Linked DNA regions of Schizosaccharomyces pombe. The gene in region 1 interacts genetically with each later gene. Each region holds a gene or a part of one and is shown in the gene's direction. Other genes may lie near its edges.

What was found. Genes that interact genetically often act in the same process or in processes that back each other up.
Region 2: mutations in psf3 (region 1) and cdc45 impair growth when combined (synthetic growth defect), as found in Schizosaccharomyces pombe (one study listed by BioGRID).

The regions. Positions count from the first base shown.
Region 1 is NC_003424.3:527,247-530,740, reverse strand, and holds psf3 (GINS complex subunit Psf3), read left to right. Parts: upstream 1-1,864; 5' UTR 1,865-1,969; coding exon 1,970-2,068; intron 2,069-2,115; coding exon 2,116-2,174; intron 2,175-2,199; exon of another isoform or gene 2,200-2,280; coding exon 2,281-2,415; exon of another isoform or gene 2,416-2,471; coding exon 2,472-2,617; exon of another isoform or gene 2,618-2,676; coding exon 2,677-2,738; 3' UTR 2,739-2,959; downstream 2,960-3,494. Other genes in the region: saccharopine dehydrogenase Lys3, read right to left, coding at 1-219; SPOM_SPAC227.17C (uncharacterized protein), read left to right, coding at 575-940. UniProt on the Schizosaccharomyces pombe protein: The GINS complex plays an essential role in the initiation of DNA replication.
Region 2 is NC_003424.3:4,723,148-4,727,346, forward strand, and holds cdc45 (DNA replication pre-initiation complex subunit Cdc45), read left to right. Parts: upstream 1-1,624; 5' UTR 1,625-1,655; coding exon 1,656-3,275; intron 3,276-3,316; coding exon 3,317-3,613; 3' UTR 3,614-3,699; downstream 3,700-4,199. Other genes in the region: pex7 (peroxin-7), read left to right, coding at 229-361, 491-1,253; Golgi zinc importer, CDF family, Cis4, read right to left, coding at 3,713-4,199. UniProt on the Schizosaccharomyces pombe protein: Required for initiation of chromosomal DNA replication. May have a role in regulating the MCM proteins nda1 and nda4.

The DNA.
Region 1 (3,494 bases):
AATGTACGCGTCCTTAGGTGCATGTCGCCATGAGCCCTCAGGAACCATGGGGAAACCAAGGCGCTCAAATTCTTTGTCCTTGAAAGCACGTTGGGAAGAGCGCTCAATGGTAATTTGAAATCCAGCATCGGCGAGTATCTTGGCAGTTCTAGGAGTCAAAGCACTGCGCTCTTCTAAAGGTTTGGTTTCAGCACGTAACCAAAGATGAGGAGCAACCATTTTGGAACAGAAAATTAATTAAATATATATTTTTAAATCGAAAAAGTATTTCAACGTTTTTAAAAACTTCCCTTTCTAAGTTAGTCAAAAAAATTTAAACTAACAAAATGAAGACGTGGCGAAGGAGACCAAAAACTTAATCAAATAAGTTTATATACTGCAAATTGGCAAAATAATATAGATCAATCTCGATATAAATGAGATCAAATTTGATGCGGTCAATTTACAGATCAGCAATGATATGAGCAGAAGGGATCTTGATGGATCTAATACGCTACACAGGTTCAGTGGCAGTCACGTTAGCTACCTATCCTAGGCACAATTCACTTGATTTTTACTAGTATGCTTTTAAATAATGAATAATTTTAAAGAAAATGATGAAAAAAGCACTTTTGGTCAGTATGCGGAACTAGATAAAATACTCGACTTGAAAAAAGGGATTCCTGAGGATCCGTGTAGTTTACAGTATTACTTTGACCAAATGGCCATGTGTTTAACAGTGTTCTCACAAATGAATCATTACTATCGTTATGGTGAATACAACAGATGTAAGGGAAATTTTAAAGACTTTAAATGGTGTCTGTCAACCAAGTCGAAGGCTCACGAAGAGGCTCAAGAAGGGCTTCGTAAGCGGCGTCTTCAGCAGTGGATGAAGTTTAGGCAAGGGCCGAATAGTGAAGACATTTGGAAGATGCGTACTTCTCCAAAAAGTAGTGAATAAGTTTTTAACGTTTCGTGCTGTGTTCACCAAACGTCGATATCAATTCTTACGAAGGCATCCATTTGTTGCGTATAACATTGGGGGAATAGCATATTTGATGATGTCTTGGATGTAAAGTTCCTGTATATCCTAGTCTGCTTAACCTTTGAAACTAATTGTTTATAGTTGGCGGGGTACTTCTATTTAATTTACCTTCCAAGTAAACTCTGAGTTCTCTTTAATTTTATGAGTAACTAATTAAACGAACAACAAATTGTTGCTTTGATTTTACAACATTGTTTGGCAGCAGGTTGATTATTTACTCAGGTAAAGATTGCTGATAAACTCGAAGGTGTTGACATCTAAAGTATGGATTAAAGCGTATATGACTTGATGAACCTGTTGATGAAACTTGGCGAATAACTTATGAAATTTGGCCTATGTCGGTGTTAAAACCTTTTTGCATTTGGAAATGACATACTAAATAATTAATACGCAAAATAATTTTGAATACAATGCAATCATGTTTTGTAGATTACGGACTAAAAATCATTTAAAAAAATCAGTTTTACGGAAAGATTGTGTAAATTTTGATCGCATAATGAGCAAGTTTCATAAATAGGTATAACATTCAAACAAGCATATGCGTTTCTTTAATGAAACTATAGAACAAAGTTTCCTTTTTTTAATAAAATTTTTCGACCAATTTCAGAAGGACGAATATACACATGTATGACATACTTTTCGAGTTAAACATTGAAGCAAATTTTTAGTACTCGAACATACAATATTTATCAGCACTAATTTTTTGAACTAGATGCTCTGTTAAGAAAAGTAAAAATAAATCTTTTTTATCTCTATTTTTTTTGTTGATTAGTACTGGTGTAATTACAGTTCATTATTTATCCACTATATCTTAGCCAACTCAAATTTGAATTTATCGTTGCATCTACCTACTTTTACCTTGTAACTGCAACTTTTCTAAATGAACATATTTTGATAAAATAACAATAACACTTCTATCATTCCTTCTGCTCAGACATTAAAAAAATGGATTACTATGATATTGATAGTATCTTGTCTGAAAATCAAAAGGTTCCATGTACTAGTACAGTTTCCATTCCAGGACTAGGCCATGAAGGGCGTATGGTTAGTGAAGTTTATAAAAATAGAACTTGACTTTCTAAACAGTTTAGGTTCCTACGGGCTCTAAAGTTGAACTTCCTTTTTGGCTGGCAGAGGTTTTAGCAATTAAGTAAGTAAAGTTTTTTTTTTTTTTTGGTTTTTTCTGCATGTTACATTATATACATGTAATGTCTTATAGAAAATTGGATAATTTTGCTTATTTGCTTACTTTATAGTTCTTTTGTTAGTATTCATATGCCAGCACCATTTTCTTCTGTAGTACGAAATGCATTAAAGGCGAATCCTAATAGTGTATCTATTCGGGACATAACCACACATTATTACCATTTTGCCGAGAAAATGCTCCATTTGTAAGTCAAACTTTACACGTTTTTCTCAAATTCAAAATCTTACTAACTCATTGTAGAATATCAGACGACAGCTTGGTTCAAATTTCCCTAAACACTTTACGTTCCAGAGCAATGCTGATTGCAGATGCGTCCCTGAATCCTCAAGGTGCTTTACAACAAAACTCACAATTCATTGAGGGTTTGGATGACTTTGAGAAACACAGTATGTTCATTCTAGCCTTTAAAAGATTCAGTAGCTAACAAAAGCTCGTGCTGCCACAGTATTGAGAGTATCACATAATGCCCATCGATCCCTAATAAACTGGCAAAATTCCACTTCGTAGTTGATTGCATGCTGCGAGACGAAATTGCTACCCAGAATAGCACGCTAATCTATATGTGAAACACTAAATGAGTGTTGATCGTAAATCCCTTCTGTTCAAAGAAAAAAGAAAAGAATCCTTAACATATACTTGTTCAATATTACGTTTACTTACAAAATTAGCTTTTGTTTGTCAGATTGACATTTTCATTTATGATTAACTTTATAAAAACTCTAGAAGATTCAAACTATAGAACTAAAAAATGTTAATAAACGAACCGACACTAAAAATTAGAGGTCGATATATAAAGTACATTCAGAAAAAGCGCCTTGTCACAGGCAATCTTCGTCAATGTAGAAACTACGTAGACCGTCGTGATTAAAGTAAAAACATCATGTGAACTAAAATTCGACCTCAAGCTGATCTACTTACCTATACAAAACAGCCTCCTTAACTTCAGTGTATCTAACTAGTTTAAGGTCTTGCAAATACGTTAGAAAAGTTGTTTTAACACGAAAACTTAGGACATGGAAATATATAACTTTAGGTTGTCTATAATCAGACGCATTTCACTTCTTCAAAACCAATGGCATCAGACATATGCTTGTCTTTGAAATTTAATAAATCATCCTAATAATACCCTAAAGTACATATTTGAAGTCTAGTTTTCAATTAAGTTTTGGATACCTTTCATGAATAACCTATAATTATGTTAGTAAAATATTGGCATAGATTTAGGTTAAAAATTTGTTCTCTCAGTTAGCATGAATGGAATTT
Region 2 (4,199 bases), 4.2 Mb from region 1:
AATATTACCGAACTATAACTAAACTAAATTCAAATGATGTAGAAATACGAAATTTTGTTATTACTGAATATTTTCTTTATTTTGTTTATATTTTATTTTATTTTGTTTTGTTTTGTTTTGTTTCCTTTTAATTTTCCTTCCTTTTTATTGGAAAAAAAAAAAGAAAACAAAACAAAATAAATATCTTGGAATGCATAATTGTACATCGTTACTAACAATATTCGCTAGGTGAAAGTGTTCAATTCTCTCCACTTGTCGAAAACAAGATCGCTGTTGCAGCTGTCACCCATTATGGATTAGGCGGAAGCGGACGTCTTTATATTCATGATGTTACGCCAAAAGGAATTCAAGTTTGCCAACAGTAAGTAATTGTGCGATTACTGCTCTTCATTATTAGACTTTTGCACAAAACACTTTTAACCATTAGTTATTATGATGAAAACAGTCTCTAAATCCTACGAAATGAAATTTATCTAACGTTAAATACTAGCTATGATGTCGAGGATTCTTTGTTTGGTGTGCGCTGGTCTCAGAATTGTGAAAATCAAGTCTACGCTTGCTGTGGTGATGGTTCTTTGAGACTATTTGATTTGACTATGCCCTCTAAGCCCATCCATAAATGGAAAGAGCATAAAGCGGAGATTGTCGCAATAGACACAAATACGGTTGATCGAAGAATTGTAGTTACGGGCTCCTGGGATGGGACTATCAAATTATGGTTAGGCAATTTGCCTAACAGTGTGCAGACGCTCAACAATGGTTCGAATTCAAGGATTCTTACAGTTGCTACACATTATAGCTCTCCAAATTTACTCGGGTATACATCAAGTGATGGATTATGCAAATTTTGGGATTTCCGGTCTTCCGATAAATTTATGTCCATTGAAATACCGAATCAAATTACTTGCATGAATTGGAGCAAGTCTAATCATCGTATGGTTTACACGGCCGACAATAACAATCTGGTTTACTGTTACGATATCGCGAATTTAAAGACGCCTCTGTCCGTATTGTCTGGTCACCAACTTGCTGTTCGAAGTATAAAATCGTCCAATTCCGCCCATGATCTTTTGGCTACAGCAAGTTACGATATGACTTCTCGAATTTTTGACCCGGAACAGCACTCTTGCATAAGAAAAGTTGATTTGCATTCTGAATTTGTCCGTGATGTTGATTGGAGTGATTTCGGCGATGGATCTTGGATTGCAAGTGTTGGTTGGGACGAATCTTTGTATATATGGAACGCATTTTAAGTTGCTGCTGTTTTTAATTTAAGATTTTATTACACTGATTCAAAGACGAAATGTTCGAACGCTCGGAATAAATTCGTTGTGCACATGTTCACCTTGGATTATATCACCAGAAAACAGCGATTACAAATTATTTTTACGATAGTTTAGGTAGCTCAAGTGAAAAATTTAGTAACTAGAGTAATTATAATATGATTTTTGGCATTTGGCATAAAATGAGAAAGGGTTGTTTGCAATGCCTACAAAAATTTCTTTTTTTTGTAACTACTATTGCGTAGCTTTGACTTGTATATTAATGCGCTATTGTTTAGGAAATATAAAGCGACTCAAAGTGCTTTACCTTCCTTTGTACTGACCACCTGGTAATTTCCTCCATGATCCACCACCAGTAACGTTTATTTATTAATGTTCATCAAGAGATCCGATTACGCCTCTGCTTACTTGAAAATTAAAGAAGCAAGTGTATCTGGTGGATGCACAGTTCAGCTCTTTGTTGCTTTAGACCCAGACGCGCTTTGTGCATGCAAGCTATTGTCCACACTTTTGAAAGGCGATTTTATTTCACATAAAATTAGGCCTGTATCGGGCTATCGAGACCTTGAACAAGCAAATAAAACTTTGCTAGAGCAAAATGAAGATATCAAATTCATTATACTTTTGAATTGTGGAACGATGGTGGATCTAAATAATTATCTTGTTTCTATGGAAGACGTATCTATCTATGTAATTGATTCTCATAGGCCGCATAATCTAAATAATATATACATTGAAAACAATATTTTTGTTTTCGACGATGGAGATATTGAAGAAGACATGAATAAAATTCATGATGCTTGGTATGCATTTAATTCGCATGAGCTATCAGATGAAGAAAATTCCGATTCCAGTAATGAGCGAGAGGAGGAAGTCGAAGATGACAACCGATCTGTGGAATCTTACAGCTCATCCGATTATCAAGCACGAAGTCGTAGGCGTTTTTCAGAGGAAACGACGCAACGTCGAGCTGAAATTAAGGAGAAAAGGAAAAAACGGAAAGAGTTCGCCTCTATCCTTTCTGAATATTATGAGAAAGGAAGTTGGTACGGCGAGTCAATTACCAATATCCTGTTTGCAGTAGCATCCATGCTTGGACGTGAGGATAATGACATGTTGTGGTTAGCGATTGTTGGGCTCACCTGCTTGGAAATTCACTGCCAATCCTCAAAAAAATACTTCAATAGGTCCTATTCTTTATTGAAAGATGAAGTCAATCGCTTGAACCCTTCACCACTTGAAAATCAAATAGTCGGTCGCGCACATGGTAAGACACCCCATGATCAGTCAATTCGGCTTGAAGATGAATTTCGTTTTATGCTAGTAAGACATTGGAGTCTTTATGATTCTATGCTTCATTCTGCTTACGTTGGTTCGAGACTTCACATTTGGAGCGAGGAAGGACGCAAACGACTACATAAGCTTCTTGCAAAAATGGGACTCAGTCTGGTGGAGTGTAAACAAACTTATATTCACATGAACATGGATTTAAAAAAAACTTTGAAAAGTAGTCTTAAAAGATTTGCACCGTTTTATGGTTTAGACGATGTGATATTCCATAGTTTTACTCGGACTTATGGATTCAAATGTACACTTAGTGCAAGTGACGTTTCTTATGCTATCAGTGCATTATTAGAAATGGGTAATACAGGTGTTTTGCTTCAAAGCAAAACTGTCGCTCGAAGCCCGGATATGACGGAGGAAGAATATTTGGAGAAGTTTGAAAATGCTCAAAATCAAGAATGGTTGCACAATTTTTATGATGCATACGACGCCTTGGACGATGTCGATTCATTAGAAAGAGCATTGAAGTTAGCAATGCACTTACAAAGAGCCATTGTTCGTACTGGAATCACCTTACTTGAAAAAAGAGCCATTAAAACGTTGAGATCTTTTCGTTTTGGACTTATCAACGAAGGACCAGATCTGAAAATATTTATGCATCCCCTTGCGTTAACAAAGATGAGTCTTTGGATTGCTGAAGCTATTAATGTAAGTGTCTATTGATTTTAACGTTTGACTAACACTTGAAGGAGCAAGAACGAGAATTTGGAAAGCTTAGACATCTTCCTCTTGTTTTAGCAGCTTTTGTAGAGGAAAAAAATAGGTACTTAATAGTTGGAACTTCTACTTCCGCTTTTACTAGCAATGAAGATGACGATGATGACGACGGTCATGGACACAATCGTTTTGGAGTTGCATTTCAAGAGGTTGCAAACATGACATCTGCTACTTTGCAAATGGACTGTTTTGAAGCAAGTGTGATTGAGTGTCAAAAAAGTGACCTCGGGGTTTTTTTAGAAAGTCTGTCCTTCAAAACACTATTATAAAGATTGGGTAAATAATGGGAATTTTGCTAATAAAGAAAATATTAATTCATCTAATTAAAATTACACGTAAATAAGTATGGATATCAACTGATGTAAGAACTATTTTCCACACCAGCAATTGTTTGGCCGTTCAGATTGTATACAAATGTGTTTTAAATTTGGTACAGCGATTGAGAGCTTCCTAAATACTTCATTACGAACCACGTTTAAATCACCGTCTATGCTCACCTGAATATGGAGTATTCCATACACTTCACCTCTTTCGTTTGTCCAGAACTTAGGGTTGGATAAACTGATAACGGAGTTACTTAAACTGATGTTCGACAAACACTGCTTCAATAAATATTCCGATTCTGGATCAGTCACAGAGAGCAAATTCTTCGCCGAATCTTTAATTAATGGAAGTACAGAAACAAATATTAATGCAGCAATTATTAGAGATGCCAAAGGATCAAAACCGGTCCATGAAAACCACTGTATTAATATAGTAGAGACAATAACTCCAACAGAGCCCATAGTATCTGCGATAATATGCAGAAATATGCCATGCATATTATGATTTTCATGGTGATGATGACAGTGATGA